Linked DNA regions of Mus musculus: all the other regions are reported to be linked to region 1. Evidence: microRNA targets listed by miRTarBase, many of them from high-throughput screens and not tested one by one. Region 1 holds a microRNA gene; each other region holds the end of a gene's coding sequence.

What was found. Region 1 holds the annotated microRNA mmu-miR-9-5p (UCUUUGGUUAUCUAGCUGUAUGA, at 1,341-1,363, opposite strand). A microRNA usually pairs through its seed, bases 2 to 8, with sites in the 3' UTR of a target mRNA and lowers its output. Matches are read on the target gene's strand: a 7mer-m8 pairs with bases 2 to 8, a 7mer-A1 pairs with bases 2 to 7 and ends in A, and an 8mer does both.
Region 2: miRTarBase lists Fads2 as a target of mmu-miR-9-5p. Seed matches in the 3' UTR shown: 7mer-m8 at 3,550-3,556.
Region 3: the mRNA of Cox6c is a reported target of mmu-miR-9-5p. Seed matches in the 3' UTR shown: 7mer-A1 at 3,522-3,528.
Region 4: the mRNA of Ncor2 is a reported target of mmu-miR-9-5p. Seed matches in the 3' UTR shown: 7mer-m8 at 3,700-3,706.

What each region holds. Positions count from the first base shown.
Region 1 is chr13:83,735,007-83,740,183 of GRCm38, reverse strand. It overlaps Mir9-2 (microRNA 9-2), which reads right to left and starts at 1,370; the gene lies at 1,299-1,370. It overlaps C130071C03Rik (RIKEN cDNA C130071C03 gene), which reads right to left. Exons shown (of 4, transcript NR_152245.1): 4 at 1-2,014. It overlaps Gm51268 (predicted gene, 51268), which reads left to right and starts at 1,308; the gene lies at 1,308-1,363.
Region 2 is chr19:10,060,083-10,065,082 of GRCm38, forward strand. It overlaps Fads2 (fatty acid desaturase 2), which reads right to left. Exons shown (of 12, transcript NM_019699.2): 11 at 4,604-4,729; 12 at 2,683-4,232. The coding sequence ends at 4,181. It also overlaps a transcript of Fads3 not described here. Among named protein-coding and RNA genes, the nearest start is that of Gm29917, 15 kb to the left of the region's middle.
Region 3 is chr15:35,930,601-35,935,600 of GRCm38, reverse strand. It overlaps Cox6c (cytochrome c oxidase subunit 6C), which reads left to right. Exons shown (of 4, transcript NM_053071.2): 3 at 188-316; 4 at 3,504-3,625. The coding sequence ends at 301. Vps13b (vacuolar protein sorting 13B) reads right to left here. Exons shown (of 62, transcript NM_177151.4): 62 at 4,372-5,000. Among named protein-coding and RNA genes, the nearest start is that of Cox6c, 5.1 kb to the left of the region's middle.
Region 4 is chr5:125,014,053-125,019,052 of GRCm38, forward strand. Ncor2 (nuclear receptor co-repressor 2) reads right to left here. Exons shown (of 47, transcript NM_011424.3): 46 at 4,759-4,938; 47 at 3,101-4,296. The coding sequence ends at 4,115. Among named protein-coding and RNA genes, the nearest start is that of Rflna, 13 kb to the left of the region's middle.

The sequences.
Region 1 (5,177 bases):
CTGAGGACTTCTCTGAGAAGGGCATGCAGTTCTGGGGCACTCTTGGCACCCTTTCCACTTGTTTTCCTTAAATGGTGAAAATTTCAACCAAAGGAGAAATCCAAATTTAATCATGGCCAGATTAAACAGAGGTTTAAAAATGAACAGAGACAGTACATAGCAGCTACCAACCAGTTGGTGTTGCCATTTGGGAGGCTGCAGATGGCTGTGGGTGGGAAATGCCTTTACTTTCTTAAGCGATGGAGATGAGTATGGTGTGTGTGTGCTTGATGTTTTTTTCATACCCCTACCCCCCAACAGGGCTGTCTGTCATAGGCTGCCGGCCAGGCTTTACCACTTGCCCCCGAGCGTGGGAATCGGAGCGTCCTGCCGTTCACATCTCCTGCTTTCCGTTTAGCGGAATCAATTAGGCAAGACAGACCCTCAGATTCCCCACCCCCTTTCCATTTTTGTCAGGTCTATATACGTCCTAATTATTTCAGTTTGGGATGCCAGAGCTGTTTCCTGGATAGACCTGATCATCCTTAAACAAAAAGAGAGGAGGCGCACACGTGGGTTGTGGCGTAAATGTCACTTTCATTTCCAATGCTAGGCGCAGAGTAAGACAGAACATTTTTTTAACACTTTGACAAGAGGGGAGGCGATCTCGTCTCCATCATGTCTTTCTGCTTCAGTAGCTTCCTCAAGGAAACCCTCTTGGAACAGAGAAGCATCTGTCCTTGTATTTTGAATAGAAGAATAAAAATCAGCCTTTGCCCCCACCCCTTTTCCCTGCTAGCTCTAAGTCTTCGGTAGATATAAATTATTAACCTTCCAGTATAAGCTTTACTGAAAGTCTAACTTCACAGAATTTGATGTACACACCCAAATACATAGAAAGTTTCCAGGCACAAGCTTCAAACTTGGGGGAGGGGCCTCAGATAGGAACAGCCCAAATCTACATAATTATGAAATCATTTTTAAGCGAGGTACCAGACATCACTATAACAGCTTTCTAAGAAAAAAAAAGAAAAAAAAAACCTCATATGTAAACGTTTGCTTCAAAATGAACAATATAGAAAATACATGCATCGTCACCCGTAAAAAACACTACACAATTCTCCTCTCCAGTTGTACAAGCCCCTCAAAGCCTGGCCCCTTTAGATTTCAATATGCGTGTCACTTAATTTTCTTGCATCCCACTTTCAATCATAAGATAAAAAAAGTTAGATTCAATAAGCATTCCTGACCTTTCTGGTTTTTACTGTCTCTTGGTTGCAGTCTTTCTTTCCGGAACGTTCCTCGGTGACCTTGAAGGAGTTTTTACTTTCGGTTATCTAGCTTTATGAAGACCAATACACTCATACAGCTAGATAACCAAAGATAACAACTCGCTTCCCTCACAAGGCTGCCTTCCTCTGGCTGAACTCCAGATCTCGATCCTCTTTGGCTTTAGGGAAGCGTAGTCCTCCGGGGTACTTGCCGCGTTTAAGCTTCTCCTTTCATGTAAACATGACCTGGTTTCTGTCTTAGTGTGTGCGGCTAGAACATCCAAATGAGATCTGTTGCATTCAGAGTTTATTCCAAACTTTTCCCCTTCCAGCAAGTAATCTCCAGTATCGTTAGCCAACAATTCATCTATGAGTATCAGAAATTAAGACCAGAGACTAAGGTGCAGCAAGCTGTTGGGGGTGAGCAGCAGTGTCCTTCTCTTCACAGGCCTCTATTTGCATTGTAAATTGCTTCATTCTCACGGAAGATTCTTTAGCCTTCCTCTACTGAGATGTATAAAGCCATCGGCAGTTTCCAACGCTGGTTAAAGAGGAAGAAGGGGGAAATCCCATTCTATAGAAGTGACAGCTGATTCAAAGATCTGCTCCGGATCATTGGGTTAGGCATCATGATCTTTTTTACCAAGTGCAGGCAGCTTGATTGCACATATCTTGTATGTGAATGTTTTAAGGGAGATCCTCGATTTCTTAGGACTTCTAGGCGGGCAGAGCATGCCCTCTTGCTGGCGTACTGCTGCCCCGGTCTGAAAGAAGGAGAAAAGGGCCATCATTGGAGGGGCTTTCACCGCCAAATTGTGGACCAGCCCGGCAAGGTCAAAGGTTTGAGACTGCGGGAGACCAAGGTAATGATGATGTCATGAGAAATCTCAAGTACATGGTTATTGATATGCATCAGTGGTCACCCAACTGCCCCACGCCTGCTGCCAGGAGTAGCACAGGCGACGGCGGCGGCGACGGCGGCAGCGGTGGCGGCGACGGCAGCAGCAGCTTTGCAGCAGTCCCTATATTCTCAATCAACATTTCATCCACTAGCACTACGGACTGCTCCTTGAAAAGCAACCCGCGGCCTTTTACCTCCTTGGCGCTAGTGTAGATCGCTCTAATATCCAAAGAATGGAGAAAATCTCTCTCTAAGGATAGATAAAAGCATTTCAGGTCTGGGGAACTTCTTTGCCTGCATTTCTCTTCTGGCAGATTGCATAGGCAGGCAGATGGAAGGCACTTTACTATTGCTTAAAGCAGGGCCTCGCTTTCTGGGGCTGGGAATCAGCTCTGTTTTTACGCAGTGAGTCGATGGTTACAATGACAATTTGCTTTGGTGTTATGTTTTTAATGGCTTTACAGCTCAGTCATGTTTTCTATCTGTGTACCGTGGCGATAGGGCAGCATATTTGTTCTGTAAGTTCGAACTGCACGATCTAAACAGTGGGGCTTCTTTTTTAAAAATGCTTTGCATATAGAGTGTGTGTGGGGGTTAGCATGCTGCACAGGTAAACATTGCAGCAATAGTTTCAATGTTGTACACAACTCTGCTGTAGCAAAAATGCTGAGCCTTTGTCTACTGTTTTAACATAAATTTCACACTGGACAATAATGCACTAGACTTGCTTATAAAATTAAAATAAAAGTCTTGTCTCCTGAACATGTAGATCCAACACCTGGATGGGGAGGGAGGGAAGCTACCACACCTCCCTGGCCCCACCCACTCATATCCTTCTATCGAGAAGCAGAAGGTCATTTCATTAATTAATTAGCTTCATTCATTGTCTTAGGAGTTTTTAAAGTGTGACTTTAAAATCACTTCAAAGAATCCTTTTCTTTCTCATCCTTTATAATAGATAATCTGTCTAGCACATCTAATATCTAACATTCAAATCCCTCTCAACAAAATATTCATGGTAATCTACATAAGAAGCATGTTCTCTGTGGGTAAACATTATGGATTATTGTTCAAATTACTAATTATTTTTTAGTAATGTTGCTTTTCTTTAAGTTACATGCTAAAGGAGAATTAGTAATTCTAAATGTACATTGCACACATCACCTGTGCCTCACAATGCTCTCAATTCCATAATGTGTCTATTTTCCCCAGTGGCTAAAATACTTTTGGATTTATTAATTTTTTTGGAATAAAATTTTTCTCAGTAATTCACTAATTTATTCATTTAACACATAAATAAGAACCTGGTTATTTAATCACATACAGAGCCCTAAAATCTAAACTCTGTAAAGAAGAGACTGACAAGTTTTTTTTGTTTGTTTGTTTGGTTTGTGTTTTAATGATAGGAAACATCTCCAATGAAGAGTTTAAACATATCACACCAATTAAGATATGGCTTACAGCTTAGTAACAGAGATGCCAATTTGTCCTTATATTAATTTGTTTACTTTTATGGTAAGCATTCTGTAACTGGCTATTGAGAAAAGACTAAGATGTGGAAAGAGTTCGTCTATATTTCTCTTCAAATTATGAACGAGAAGTCAGAAATAAAATACACACGGACACTACAATCCAATCCTAAAGGCATGTTCATAGAGTTTTTGTTCATTCCTAAACCATATGGTCACAGCATAAACAACTCAGTGAAGCGCATGCCACTTCTGACATCATGTAAAAATCCTAATGAGCTTTGCAGCTTGGAAGATTAAAGAGCACCGTGGCCTTGCTTTCCAAGAACTAGCAGCAGAGTAATTAATGATTTGGCTTGTATTACATAAAATAAGCACGTGATCAGATATAGTCAACTGTGTAAGCCAAAGCCCAAGAAATCAAAAATGGTCTTATAGAATCTCTTTTCTTCACATGTATCTAGGTGTGCTAGCTACATATATATATCTATGTGTTGGGAGGGTGTTATTTATTCACATATTTTCTGAATTTGAAAGTTATTATGACTCTATTCCCATACCTAACAATAAAATGTGTTTTTAGAAACAATATCTACAATGAGTTAACACACTGCATATCTGAACGCTTCTCCCACTAGAATCTGAATAAGATGCTGTAATAAATACCACATTCTTAGGGCAACACTAGTCATGCCAACTTACTACAAGGCCGGTCTCCACGCTTGGTATTCATCATGGGAACTCCAATGAGTGAAATGAGCCAAGATCAGGATTATGGGTAGTCTGTTCATTAGCAATGTAGTCAATTAAATATTTTAACTCTCTATCAACCTCACAGGCACACAGAAGAAATTAAATATACTAAGATTTAACATCGAGTGCCCCCTTATTTATAAGATTGCCAAGGTTTATAAAATGGTTTATTGTATGTATTATATATACCCCACAATACGTTACAATTACATATCTTCAAAGACTCCTAGCGATGTCACCTGTGAAGAGCAGCTCTTAGCAACTACACTTTAAACTTAATTTTTTTTTTGCTTTTAAAAGATTATCTAGCTGAGCTACAGAATATCTACTTGAAAATCAGCATAGAGAAGGATATACTGAATTCAAGCAGCCTGAATTCAAGCACTAAATTCTCACTACTATCTAGTAGATTAGAGTATGGTTGTTGTGCTTGCTTGCAGATAGTTTGTAGGTCTCCAAATTGCTGAAACATGACTTGAAACATCCTAGTTTATTTGGGGATAAAACAATCTCTCCTGATTTACAGTAAAAAGTTATGGTTTTCCTCATATTTGGGCCAGAAATATGCTATTTAATTAATTCATATACACTTGGTTTATGATCAATATTTGGAACGTCTTTGAATCCTATACACATGAATGCAGAATGCATAAGGAACTGGCCCAACACCAAATCATTTTAAATATTTCATTTATAAGAATTACAAATGTGCAAATTGTAGTCTACAGTCAATACTACTATTGTCTTATTTTTTAAGCCATTTTATTTACATTAGTGTCCATGGTCCAAGTGATGAAGTGAACT
Region 2 (5,000 bases), not on the chromosome of region 1:
CAGAGTTATCCAATAAAATACCCTGCAGAGACCCCTGCCTTTAGGTCTCTTCCTTCTACCCAGAGCCCATTACTGATAGGTCATTTTTGTCCCACCTTCCCCTGTCATCTATGCTATAGCTCCTGGCAGTGGGTCACCTCCACTCACCTGAGTCCGTCTTCCTGTAGAGATCACAGACCACACTTATCAAGAGGACAGGAAAAGGCCATGGTAGTACCTTTGAAAGACCCCACTGTCTCCCTTTCTATTTTCTGTCCAACAGTCCTGAATCCAGAAAGAAAGGTTCCAGAGGGAAGTCACGGCTTGTTTGTCCTTTCGGTCAACCAATAGCTAAGAGACTCCAGTGGCCAGCTCCCACGAACCAGCCTCTGCCTTTGTGGGTGCGGCTGGCGGTGGGGAGATAAAGGCCTTGCGAAAGAACGATGTGTAAACATACTTTGTCCTTAAAACATACTGTGTTCTTAAAGACACCAGTACTTTCCAAGCCCTGTTTCCTGTTACTAGCTCCCTTTAGGCATTATTAGCTCTTGAACCAAATGGTTTGAAGCAAAACCCAATTAAGTGCCTTCCAAGTCCCCACCCCACCCCCACCCCCCCACCCCCAAAAAAAAGAAAGAAAAAAAGAAAAAGGCTTGATTCTGGCAGGAGGCAGTGGAGCCACTGTGAAGTCCTGAGACACTGGGCAATTTTATGTTTCATTTATCTGTGAACCCAGTCTGCCTAGAAATGCGCAGTCCTGTCAGTCAAAAGAACACCAGTGTCCAGATCGTACAGCAAGTCTTTTCCTCCAGCCCATTCGCAGGTCACCAGATGACCTGCTGGGACCCACTGCTGTGTGATCTATCTCACAGCAGCAGCTGTCCTCTGAACAGTACTTTCCAAGCCAGCTGAGCCGCAAGAGGCCCAAGGTATGGTTTCCCAAGTGGCTGTAATCTCCTTCTGTTCCATGACCTTCTTGCCTGAGGCCTTCTCCTCCCTCCCAGTGGCCCCGAGGGCTCCTCCAGCTATACACACAGACAGACACGTACAGAAACCTCTGGGCTTCCAGTTATACACACAGATAGACACGCACAGATGTTCAGGCTGCTCCAACAGCCCCAGAGAAGCCTCTGAGTCTGCTGTCTGGCATAAGCTCATACTACCTCAAAGATAGTAGGGGTTTTGTTTTCAATAGCACCTCATTCCTGATCATCTCTTTCACCTGAACTAACTGCCCCACTGCCTGCCTCTACCCCTGGGGCCAGCCTCCCGTACAATATGACATTTGGTATGATGGGGTAAAGGGGAAGAGATGGCCCAGCCAACTGGTATTCCCCATGTATGCTCTGATTCTTCTGCTGACACTGTGCTGCCTCAGGGTGAGTATCTTCCCCTCTCTGGTGTCAGCTTCTTGGCCTGTGAGATGTTAGGGTTTCATTAGGCTGGGCTTTTAAATATTAGAGAAGTCCATGACTTGTTAGGGGACAGAACCCACCCCACAACTTTGGGGATATTGGCCAATAGCCTCAGTTGAGCACTGTAACAAGAGAGGAGCTATTCATGTAGAGAGCAGGGATGTATGTCTTCTGCTCTGGACCTTAGGTAGCGCTCAAGGCAGAAGCTAGGAGTGTATATGAGAAAACACAAGCTCATGGATGTGAGCCTAAATTTACCTTCACATCTGAGACACCTATCCCTGCCGGGTTCCCTTCAGTCACCCTCCCACTCCCCAGATCTCTGGGTGTCAGCTGCCATAGACCCCACATTCACAGTTGGCAGGGTTTGGCCTGAGGCATTCTGGGTATTGGGGGGCCAGGTCCTGCCCAAGCAGCAAGTGGAAGACAAACATAGGTAAGTTCTGAAGGTGTGTTCAAACAAGTCTGCCATCACCAAAGTCTCCAGGGGGCTTATCAGTCAGGTGAAGCCAAGGCTCTTGGAGACTGACAGAAATCAGCCTTGGAGGCATTCTATCCCATGATTTCTTTTCCTCAAGGAGGAAACTGTGGCAGTGAGTACCCTGGAGATGAGGTGGAGGAAGACTCACGCAGGGCCACTCAGAGGATCAGTGACAATGTCTGCCATCCCAAGCCTTGTACTAGTTACAGTGTGGTCACTGGGAATCACCCCCCACAGACTTCCTACTATCCCTCCATACTTATATGGATAGGTTCTGGTCACCTATGGAGATGAGATCTTTGCTGGAGCACTCCCCAACCTTGCTGGGAGCAGCTACAAGGCCAACAGAAACCTCGGGAGTATTGGCCACCCCATGCCTGATGGCTCTTCTGACACCTCTGGAGTGACATGGCCCTTTGAGCCTGTTCCGAGATGGATGCAGCATGGGTCCAATTGCAAGGTGAATTGGGCAGGTACCTCAGGTGCAGATGACTCTGGCTTCCCAGGCTGGAGGTCAGACCAGGGCGTAGGAACTGTAACCAGGGCTGGAACGATATAGACCTTCCCTAGGCTGTAGAGACTCCACATGGGCACAGCAACACAAAATAAAAGCCTCAGTCTCCAGACCCGTCACCGTCCTCTTAGAGAGAGGACCAGGGAGGGTTCTGTTCACCACTCGCCTTAACAGTCAGGCCCTGCTCTTGTGGGGCAGCACCGCCCTTCCTCCCAGACCCTGCATTACCACACCTGTGACATCAGCATACAGGAACACTAGCCATCCATTGATCTTGCTGAACTACAGGCAAGTGAGAATAAAATTACTTTTTTTTTTTTATTTCCCAAAAAAGTAGAGGCGGGGAACAAGATGATACAAATGACTGCCATCTCCTATGGGTTCTCTGCCTCTGTGGAACAATACCAACTGGTCTCTCTTGGCTCATGGAGTCCTAGAGGGCTTGCCCTGTGCAGGCCCAGCCTTTTCCTCCAGTTTACATATTGGTTGGTTAGTCCAGTTAGACCTCAGAATGACATAGCGTGGGTCCCCTCCTGCTATAGCCGACGTCCCCCCTCCCACCTGCCCTCACATTTCCCTCATGCCCTCAGCCTCCTCTTCCCTCTACACTCCTGCTTGAGCCTCACTGGGTACCCCCAACAGCCCTCCTGAGACCTCACACCCTACCCTGTTTTTCCTGCCTTTCTGATAGCAGCAACCTCAAGCCACAGCGTATACTGTGGCCTTGAAGGCGAAGCCTAGCTCTACCTGAAGGGCAAGGGACATCTAGTAAAGATGGATTGTCCTAAGACCCAGCCAGCCCTCTGCTACTCTCCTATTAAGAAGAATTCTGTAGGAAATGTTAACACAACAGCTAAAACAAACAAGCAAACAAACATCTGTAAAGACAGGGATGAGCCAAAAAGAAGCCAAGTGCTGGCTAGATTGGCAGCTCTATCCTGGGGAGAGCTGCTCAGGGGCTCTCCTGCAAGGTCCACATTCTCTAGACCAAGCATCTGGAACTGGCCAGAGGATCTGGAAAAAGATCTGATCCTTCTAGAATCTTGGGCCTTTTAACTCAGAAGCACCTGACTGTAGTGGGAGAGGTTAAAGTTCCAGGCTGGTCAGTCCCTCCTTCAACCTGGCTACTGCCTCTCCTGAGCCCGCACAAGGAACACTCCCTTTGGTTTCTGGAGTTGGGTAGATGATGAAATAGAACCTGTACAAACCCTATGGTCTGGAGTTGTGATGGTGGGCATGAGAGAACTTTTCCTTGGTCCTCAAAGTCTAAGGTGGTCCTTGGCAGCTGGAAAGAAGCCTCAAGTACCAATCCCAGCCATGGGAAAGACACTCAGAACGAAGCATGTCTTCACCCAAATGACTACACCATAATGCTGACAGGGAGTGTAGAGCCAAGTCCTGGACTCCTGTTCCACAGGCCCCCAGAGTGTCTGTGGGACAGAAGGGGGTGGGGACTAGGCTGCCAGGAGCAGAATCTCATACCAGGAATCTTTAGGTGCAGAAGTTAAAGGCAGACGCGTAACCACCTGAGACAACCACCTCTCCGGCTCTCTGGGAGAAGGGACTGGGAGGCAGAGGGGATGGGGTCAGGGCTGACAAAGGGGGAACTCCATGAGAATGGAGTAGGTAGGGGTGAGGGAAGAGGAATAACAAGAAAGGATGCAAGCCCGGGGAATGTGAGGCAGCAGACACTTCAGTCTCATGAGAACCCTTCAGAACAAAAGCCCTCCCCTCCCTCTGGCTGTCACCCAACAGTGCCCCTTTCCCGAGGGTGCCCGGAGGACGGCAGCTTCATTTATGGAGGTAAGCATCCAGCCACAGCTCCCCAGACTTCTTCAGTGAACTGCAAATAGAGAGAGGGGGGCAGGGCTCAGGAACCAGATGGAAGGAACCTCGGCCTCCAGGCAGTGAGACTTGTGGGAAGTCATGTTGGGGCGGCAGGTGCTTCCTCTCAGCTACTGACTAGGGCTCACCACTTACCACAGGATACCACAGGAGCTGTGGGCTACTGACTAATACACCCCAGAGAAACCCCTGGGAAAGGAGAGAGGGGAGGTCCTCTTCTAGCCCTGGGTAGACAGGAATCCCCACTGTGAGCTAGAGTCCCTACTGTGAGTAAGGCCAGCCATGTGCCTCTCACCTCCTCAGCCCCACCTCATCTCTGGCCCCTTCCAGTGCTCCAGAGCTTCAGCCCTTGTGGAGCTCACCCCTCACCTCACAATGTCGATCAGGGCCCTCAGCAACGGCTTCTCCTGGTATTCAATGCCATGCTTGGCGCAGAGAGACTTCACCAGTGGGGCAATCTTGTGCAGGTTGTGACGTGGCATAGTGGGGAAGAGGCTGGGGGAGCAGGTGGGCAGAGTGAGTGCAACCCAAGACCCATGTTCTCCACCTCCTCTCCAACCCAGGGAGGCAGGCAGGGCTGAGGTCCTATCTTAAACCAGGACTAGACTGTGGCTCCTGCCAACTGCCTGAAGATGTTACTGGTGGTGTGTAGAGGGGCAATTTATGAACAGGGGCACTGCAGAAAGCCGAATTGAACAGCCAAACACAAGAGTCTTATGTTAAAAAACAAAAAGAAAAAGGGTATCAGGGCTCACGCCCCTGGCCT
Region 3 (5,000 bases), not on the chromosome of region 1:
GTAGTAGGGAGCTTTTTGCTGTATAGTTGCCACAAGACTCTTCCTTTCATGGTGTCCCCCCTCCTTGTCTAGGAAATAAGAGGGCTCAGTAAAGACTGAGTACAAGTATCTTCTTAGTTTATTTTGTTTTTATGCATTTCTAATAATCTGAAAAGAAAGTTCTGTAACGGGCTATGCTACCTTTTAGTTTGGCGTGGCTGAGCCAAGAAAGAAGGCGTATGCAGAATTCTACAGAAATTATGATTCCATGAAAGATTTCGAAGAGATGAGGAAGGCTGGTATCTTTCAGAGTGCCAAGTGATTTCAGAATGCAAAGGTAATTACAGTTACTTTTTAGTTGTGTCTAAGAAATGTTTAACTAGTGAATTATCTTAACTGTACAGTTCTTATAAAACTGCTACTGTCTAGGAAAGAGCCGCCATGCTTTTCTTCCAGACTGACAAGTAGTTCTTTTTATGAATTAAACTACATTATTTGCTTTTCTTCTTCCCCTTTTTCTCCTTCTATGCATGGGATACATGTCAGAAAAACTTTGGAATTGCTTTTCTTTCCACCCATTATATGGGTTTGTTCCAGGGAACAAACTTGGGTTGGCAGATTAAGGCGGTGAGTGCTTTTACCCATCTAGTCGCCTTGCTGGCCCTTTGTCAGTTATTTCAGTTAGTACAGTGTTTTACTGTTGAGGCCGGCCAGCGGCTCACATGTCCGGGTTCGAGCCTGGAAAGCATCTTGAAATCTGGAAGAAAAGAGGGAATGTAGGCGGCTTGATGGAGCTAAGTCAAGAGATTCTGATCAATTTTAATATTCAGAAACTGAGGTTATAAGGAAGGGGGAGGGGCCCATTCCCGCCAAATCATCTTCAGAGTCCAGCTGTAGGTGACCACGTGTGTACTCTGGAACAGCTAGGTGGCGGTAGTAGCAGTGGGAGTGGCAGAAGGATAGGGTGGCAGGCTCCACCCCCGATGATCTCCTGGTGATAGCAGTCAACTGCTCAGCCTGTTTAAGGGCTGGGTGGGGGTACATTTTACATGTCAGTAATTCCCTCCTTTTTTTAAGGCTGAAAATACTCCATTGTATGTTGTTTCTGGGAATTGAACCTGGAGTATTGTGCATACTTGGAAAGCATTCTACAATCGACTACATCTTATTCTATATACATACATACATGTACTCATATATATGTGTATATACATGTATATATATGTGTGTGTGTGTGTGTGTAGATTTTTTTATCTTTGTTTTTTCCCTTTTAGTGGATATTTTATTTATTTACATTTCAAATGTTATCCCCTTTCCAGGTCTCCCATCTGGAAACCTCCTATCCCATCCTTTTCCCCCTGCCCCTGTGAGGGTGCTTTCCCCGACACTCACTCCCAGTGTATGTGTGTTTTTTGGTAGTGGGTTGAGATACTTTATGGTGGTTTTGATTTGCGCTTCCTAGTGATTTGTAGCTTCGAGTGTTGCATGTACTTATTGGCCACTTTGTATATTCTTTGGGTATACTGGGGATTTTCCCCTTTCATATGTATGTAGGGTGTGCGTGCGTAAGTCCAAGGTTAATATTAAGAGTACTTTCCTTTAGTATTTTCTATAGTATTGAGGCAGGATCTCAGTTGAATCCAGAGCCCTCTCATGAGGCTAGGCTGGCTAACCAGGTTACTCTTGCAATTGCAGATGAACCACCATGTCTGTCAGGCATTTATATAAATTTTGGGGATCCAAACTCTGGATTTTATTGTTATTTTTGTGCTTTAGCCACTTGGCCAGCTCTCCATCCTGGGGATTCTTTTATTCAACTCTGCTGACTATTTTTTAAATTTTACTTTAGATGAGTTGTTCCCTTATATTTCTGTCAAACAGGCCATCCCAGAATCACTGCCAAATCCAGTATCTTAAACACTTTCTTTCAAGAGTCTTAATGCTTTTTATGTCTTTGAGTCTTTCTTTTTTGCTGGTGCTGGGGATTGTATGAAGTGTATGCTTTAATTTAGCTGCACCTCTTTAGTCAGTGTTTTTCAACCTTGTGGGTCATGACCCTTTTAGGGGTTTCATATCAGATGAACCTACATACCAGGTATTTACAATTCACAACAGCAGCCAAATTATGGTTAGGAAGAAGCAATGAAAGTAGTGTTATGGTTGGGAGTCATTACAGTAGATGGAATTGTATTGAAGGGTCGTCATTAGGAAGGTTGAGCACCACTGCTCTAAAAGTCCTCCGTATTAAGATAATTTTTGTTTATGGTGTAATGGCAAGATCCAGCTTCATTCTTTAGTATACAGATAATATGTTGTCCCAAAAATATTTTTTAAAAATTGTCCTTCCCCTTTGAATGAAGGACCCTCAGATTTTTTGTTGTTGTTGTTGTTGTTGTTGTTGTTGCTTCTTGCATTAGTCTATTGAGGTAGTCTTTTGCTAACAAGAAGCTGTTTCATCTTGACTAGTTGGTTGGCCAGTGAGCTCCTAAGATTCTCCTGGTTCTGGTCCCCCAATGCTGGTGTTTTAATGCACTGTCATGCCTGACTTTATGTGGGAGCTGGGGATTTGAACTAGGATCCTTGTATAGCAAGCATCCATATTCTGAACCATCACTCAAGCCTGGTTTGTTTATCAGGGCAGTACCACAGAGGTTTCATTATATATGAGTCTTCCACCCCAACCCCCTCAGTTGAGATATTTGAGCTCCTTTGAGAATCTCTGAATTTTAGAGTGGGTTTTCTTTTTCTTTTTTTTTTGTTTTTTGTTTTTCGAGACAGGGTTTCTCTGTGTAGCCCTGGCTGTCCTGGAGCTCACTCTGTAGACCAGGCTGGCCTCGAACTCAGAAATCCGCCTGTCTCTGCCTCCCGAGTGCTGGGATTAGAGGCGTGCGCCACCACGCCCAGCGGGTTTTCTTTTTCTACAAAAAATGGTTGGGTTTTTTATAAAGATTCCATTAATCTGTAGATTGCTCTGGAGTGTATAGACATCTTACTATTGCAATATTGCAGTCTTCCAGCAGCACTTTATATCTTTGCTCAGTATTCTATTCATAAGTGTTCTATTAGTTTCAAAGTAATTATAAATAGAATTGTTTTATTTTTACTTTAGTGTATTACAATTTTATGCCCTATAACTTTGTAAAACTCATTCTAACCTTTCTGTTTCTGTGTGTATTATTAGAATTTTCTACATTATAAAATATTACCTACAGATTTTACTTCCTTTGGGTGTATTTTCTTTTTCTCAACTGATTTTTCTGATTAGGACTTTAATACTATGTTGGCAAGAATTGGCATTTTTTTTTTTTTTTTTTTTTTTTTTTTTTTTTTTTTTGCTGATTCTAAAGGAAAAGCTTTCAGTTTTTCATCAAGTGCAGGTTAGTAATAGATTCATCCGCAGTTGACTATATTGAGATGTAGTTTTTACATTTTAGAAAGTTTACAGTCTAGTAGGACTAGACTTTATGGATGGTAGTAATAAAGATTGTTTATCATTCACAAAGCTATTGTGTTTCTCTCCATAGAATTCTTTGGATTGCGCTCCAAAGAAGTTCATTGCTGACCTGCGCTCCTGAACTATGAAACATGAATATGTGTGGGCTAAGGAATAGTTTCTTTCAATAAACAGTAATTATATGGACAGTAAGTCTTTGCTTGGTTATTAATGATAATTCAGAGCCTTTAATACCTGACGCCTAATGTTCTTATAATTCTAGATAAATATTATAAAGACAACTCCTATAATTATCTGGTCCTGGCTTTGGTGTCCTGGAGTACCTATGAGCATCTGTACTTCTGGTCTTGATGTTCCAATCCTATCATTAAAATCAGCCTTTGCAGGAGGCAGAGGTAGATATGTTACTGAACCTTGAGCTGGAGGCCAGTAGAGTGAGTTTCAGGGCAGCCTGGAATACATGGTTAGATGCCAACTCATTATTTTTGGTTGTGAGCTTAGCCTTTAATGGCTGAGCTATCACTCCAGCCCAAGAGATGCCATTCTATAAAAATCTGTCCTTAGATTTCACTGCCAGTCTTTGGTATTGCTGTTGTCACCAGAAAGAAAGTTAATTGACGTACTATTAGAAAAATTATTTTTATTAATGAGCCAACAATATGTATAATGAATGTGAATATGTGTCTAATCCAGAAAAACACTTAACTAGTATTGAGGAATGTCTGATAGTCACTTAAAGTCTGAATGTAGATTTTGTGGCAGGGCCGTGTGCATCCTGGTTAAGAGTTCTAGGACTGCTGTATCCAGTGGACAGAATGAAAATGCAAATTTGGTCAGTAGTTCTGTTTAACTTGTTTAAGAAAGACTCAGTGAGTGAATTCTATTAAAATGGGGTATCCATGAAAACCTGCACAGAAAAAACTCACAGCACACCTTTATCCACGGTCAGTGATTCAGGAATACCTTTTATTATGTATATAATAATTTCCAGCAGTATGTAAAATTACCATAAGCCATACAAGAATCAGTACATATTTACATTCTTAAAAATAACTGTTCTTGAGTTTGACAAAGATGTTCTTTTCCTAAATGTGTAATAGACCAATTGCAGAGATGATCTTCATATTTGGTTTGAATTGTTCACCAAGGACTTGTTTTCCAGGACTAGTGCTGTAGTAGGGATGTGTGCTCAGCAGACTGAGGTTGTAGGTCAGTGTCCTTTGAAATCAGTGGCCCTGTCTTACTGCCACATTTCAGTTGAAGGGAAGGAACAGATTGCAGGCCTGTGCATGAATACCATCAGTGGGTAATGAGACCCTGAGAGTCACTAACTCCTGAAGGTAGTGGTGATGCCAGGTCATGCATCAAAGCCCTCCCTAGATGTTAAATAATACTTAACAGATACTAGGGATAGCTCCAGACTTTATCAAATCAATTCAACAGAGCAACTATCTGGACTGAAGTCACTGTCAGCCTTAAGGCTGGAGTCTTTAACTCATCCGCAAACAAACTTATAACCAATATGTTCTGTTCTTGTCGGTAGACACAAAGTGTTACTTTAGCTTAG
Region 4 (5,000 bases), not on the chromosome of region 1:
GTCCCCACCCTGGCTTTCAAGAGTCTAGCACAAGCTGTGTCCCCACAACCTGTCTTTTGAAGGCTGCCACTTCTAGGAAGTCCTCCTTGACTGACATGGTCTGTGTTGTTTCCGAATCAAGCCTAGGTAGGGGATCAGTGTGTATCTGATCGGTGGGCAGAGCTCTCCTAGGGGGGAGGGGTCTCCTAGGGGGGAGGGGTATGTGGCTTGATGCAGGACTAGCTCTCTCTGTATTAAGAGACCAAGAGGAACGAGCTTGGGTGTTCTTAGAGAAGGGTGGACCACGGCTGGACGTTGCAGTGTAGCCAGGTGTCTTCCTGGGAGGCAAGGGTGAGAGAAGTCACATGTGCCTCCATTTTAAAGGTGGAGCGAGGACAGGCTGGTTACAGCTAGGGGACAGAAGAAACCCTCCAAAGGTACAAGCTCTGTCTCCACATCTCTGTCATGGTCTAGGCCTCAGGAAGTATCAAGGGAGACATGGGTTTCATATCTGAGAGGTAGAGATGCGGCTGGAGGAGACAATGGGGTAGCTCAAACCAGCTCCTGTCTGGTGGCAGCCGAGGGTCACCACACCGTGAACCGGTGTAGCAAAGCAACCTGACCGTCCAGGTGGAGCTGGCTGTGTCCAAGATGAGGCCCACAGCACCCCCTGGCTGCTAGCTTTTGTATTGCAGTCTGGATGAAGGTCGAGCCCCTCCAAGCCAGCCTGGTACAGACCTGCCTGGTGGTCTCCAGGTTTCAGCTCATGTCTGCTCCTGACAGTTCACAGGACAGACTCGGGGCAGCTTGGGACTCCCTGGAGGATGCAAATGTCTCTCCACACTCTAGCTCAGATATTTCAGGCGGCTGGGGAGGTTGTTCTTGGGAGATACATACCTCCACCAGAGCCTTCATGATCAGACTCCTGCCTATGGCTGCTTCAGATCTCCTTTCCTTTATCAGACCCAGCAGCCACCTCCCAGCAGAGCCAAGGTGGGTTTCATTCCAGAGACTTGGGACCCTCTGCCATGGCATCCCTCCCTGGCTGCCCAGGCTAGGAGCTAAGGATGAGTGCAAGGCAGGAACCTTGGCAGAAAGAGTATGACTGCCAGATGAAGACTCTGGTACGGGCCTGCCTGGTTGCTTCCCACACCCCTCTCTTTGAATGGCTGGCCTCTGAGGGCACTAAACCAGCCACCTGGCAGCGGGGTAAGGCCAAGTGAGTTCAGCCCAGGCCTTTGTGGACCAACTGTCAAACCAGCTCTGGAGCCAGGTGGCAGACTGGGGACAGCAGGCTGGGGTGTCACAACATGTACAGATGGGTATGGATGGATGTAGAGGGGCCCCAGGCCCCAGGATGGAGCAGATCAACTGACTCAGTGCAAAGACTGGAAGCCCTCTCAGCCCTGCTTCGAGAGTTGGTTTAAATGTCACCCTGTCACAAATGAGGTAAGGGAGCCTCACCTGAAGAGCTGTCCCAACGGTTTTGATGTGGGAAGGCACACCTGGATTGTGGGCAGCACCTTCAGGCAGCAGCCAGGTACAAAAGGAACTGCCAGGAAGGCGATCACCTCGCCCTTCACTCAGAGCGGCTCTGCCTCATTGATAGCACTGCTAACCCCATGGCTGACGGTACAGCCAGGCTAAGCTTTCCTGGCGGCCTGGGGACCAGCGGCTCTCTAGAAACCTTCTGAGCTTCCAGGTGCCAGATTGGCACTCTTACTCAGTGACTTAAGGGTCATCGCCTTGCAGTGAGAGGCAAGCTGTTCTGGGACAACTCTGAGGCACTCAGGTCCAAGGACCACACAAACTGTTCTCAGCATCGTGGGTGGGGCTTGGCTGTGTTACTATTTTAAAGCTCACTCAAGGAGCTGGAGAGATGTGTTCGGGGGTGCCCTTCCAGAAGACCCAGGGTTCAGTTCCTGGCACCCACATTGGTGGCTCACGAGCACCTGTCTCTAGTCTGAGCTCTGCAGATACCAGGCAAGCACTGTGGTGCAGATATACACAAAGACCAAACATTATAACACATGTGAAATATAAATAAAACAAATATTTTAAAAAGCTTATTCTTAATAAATTCTGCTATACACATATGTATATACACATACATACACGTATGTATATGTTTGTATATATACAAATACACATATATACACATACGTATATATACACATATACACACGTATGTATGTGTAACACACAAATTCCTGAGCAATGGTTCTCAACCTGTGGGTTGCAACCCCTTAGAGGCAGCCCTTTCATAGGGGTGACATATATCAACTATCCTGCATATCAGATATTTATGCTATGATTCACAACAGTAGCAAAACCAGTTATGAAGTAGCAATGAAATCTATGGTCAGGGGGTCACCACAACGCGAGGAACTGTATTCAAGGGTCACAGGAACAGAAAGGTTGAGAGCCACTGCTCTAGAGAACCCTGATTACAACAGGCACCAAGGTGGCAGCAGGGCTCTGTTGGAGTTTCTTAGATCAAACCCAAAGAGGTAGGTGTGGCCATTTCGGTCAGGTTCAAGAATACTTACCGCTGACACAACAGGCAGGATCAAAACAGTGCAGAGCAAGAAGCAAGAGTCCCCAGGACACCCTCACTGTGGGGGGGAAGGGCACACTGTGGGTGTGACTGGCGGAAATTTACACCCACAAGAAAGAACAGGAGAGGCTAAGCCACAGGCAGGGACCCCAATGCCTACTACGAGACAGTAATCTTCACCCCGTAAGTACCACACACTGTCACCGTGAAGAATGCAATGACTACTCTCCTGTGACAAGGGTGAATGCCCAGGACCCTTTTCCACGGGTATGAACACCTCCACATAGTCACCGTATAATACAGGTACTGGCTGGCTTCCCCAACAAGTGTGAACACCCCTGTACGATGACCACTGGTGTGAATGACCAATGGGTCCCCCACCGGTGTGAACATCCAGCAAGGTATCGACGACACAAGTACCTGGTGGCTTCCTCATACGTGTGCATGCAGGATGCCCTCTGGTGGCACTGTACTTAGGGGTCAATGTTCACTGCTCAGTGCTGACTTTAAGGAACACTCCCCTTGACTCCTGTGGCTGCCTGCTGCCCAGTGAGAAGCAGAGTAGAAACGTTGTCACTTGAGTATATTTGCTTTCTAATTGGAACAACATGTGTAAATGACAGAATGCCGCCGTGCACAGAGAGCGGCCACAGAATACGCATCAAGTCCATTTTGCCCAAGGAAGGGGGTGGGGGGGAAGGGCACAGTGCCGTGTGCCGGAGCCCCTGACCCCCAAGTCCTGCGTATGGTGGGGCCACCGCCTTGGCTGGCACGTGCCTCTGAAACAGTAGGTAGAGACCAAAGCACAGCGGCAGAAACACGGGCGAGTCCTTCCTTGTGTGAGACGTCTGAATTAACTCATTGAAGGTATCAAAAATATACCCTGTAAGCCAACACCATTTACACGTGCCTTCCCTCCCGTTGCCACAGCAACAGGCCGGGAAACGGTCCAGTTCCTGCAAGCATCCGTGCCCCAGGCCAGGCCTGGCCCCTTGTGCACCCACCTGGTCTGATGGGCTCCCAGTCTTGTGGGCTGGGTGGCCTTTGGAGACTGCGATGATGACAGCATTAGGGCAGGATAAGCTGGGAACGTCTGTCTGTCCAGAGCGCAAGCGGGCTGGGGGCAGAGGGAGGGGCAGGACCACGCGAGAGTTCAGCTTAGACTTTGGTTCCAAATGCGGTAAGGGGCGAGGCGGTGGCATGGAGGTGCCTGGTCAGCCTGTGGTGGGTCCCCGCTGCCCCAGATGCACGAGTGCGACTGACACACGATTGCTGTCCCCCCCCCTCCTGGCCCGCTGTCCCTCCCCTCCTGTCCACTCCCCTCTCGAGCACCAGGTAAACATCCCCTGAGTGTAAGGTCACTGCGCAGGGCCAGCCCGGGGTGGGAGTCTTAGTTAAGGCTTTAGACAGGCAGGATGCCAGCTCTGGATGGACAGATGAGTGGACGGACGGACGGATGGACGCGCAGGCAGACTCAGGGGCTCCTTCCTCAGTCTCGGGAGTCAGCAGCTGTCTGCTCCATGCTGGGCTGCTTCTGCCTTGTGCGGGGACCTGGCACCGCTCCCCCCCAATCCGTGGTCACTCGCTGTCCGAGAGTGTCTCATACTGTGAACACAGCAGTGGCTTGGGCTCCTCATCCCAGGCGTGGTGGGGACCAGCTAGGGGCCCGCTGCCTGCCGCAAGGCCAGGTGGGGGCGGGGAGGCCATGACACCTGCCTGTAGCCTCATAATCAAAGGGTTGTAGGGGAATGGCGTGGACCCTGCGAGAAAGATGGGAGAGTGCTGCAGGAGGCTCTGCAAGCCGCTACACGTAGGCACCTCAGGACCCGTCTTCCATATAAGAAACCAGAGCCTGGGTCTCTTGGGCCAGGACCTCTAACTCTGGAGTTTCTCAAAACCGGCCTCCTCCCTTTGCCTCTGTGCTCGACAGCCCTACCACCGTTTGACTGGACTCCAGTAAAACCTTTCCGCTCTCCCTCTGTCCTGTCTTCTACTGCCTTTACTGTCCTGTCAAAATCCTACAGTGCCTGACAGGCAAGAAAGGCTGCCAGCCTCCCCTGTATGACGAGCCATGCCTGGAAGGTCTGGCCAGCTACACAGGACCCTCTGATAGGTTTCTTCCTATATCCTCCTTGCTAAGTGGTGATCAGGGACCTTCTTTCTTGGGTAGCCCAGGTAACCCCCAACCCCTGGATACATCTCTACTCCTAGCTGATACCCACCTGCAGATGAGGGCCGGTCCTCCCACACACGGTTGGTGAGTGGTGTTCGGCGATTGCAGTCCCCCTCTGAGTGTACTGAGGAGACAGAAGGGGGTCGGTCTCCGGACGCTAGGCCTGGTGCTGGCGACTTGGCTTTTCGGCTGCTAGGTCTGCCAGAGACCTTGGCTTTCCCACCTCCACCTGCAGGGGACAAAGTGGGAAGGGGCCAAGTCAGACGGGGTTGACAGTAGGACACCCACACC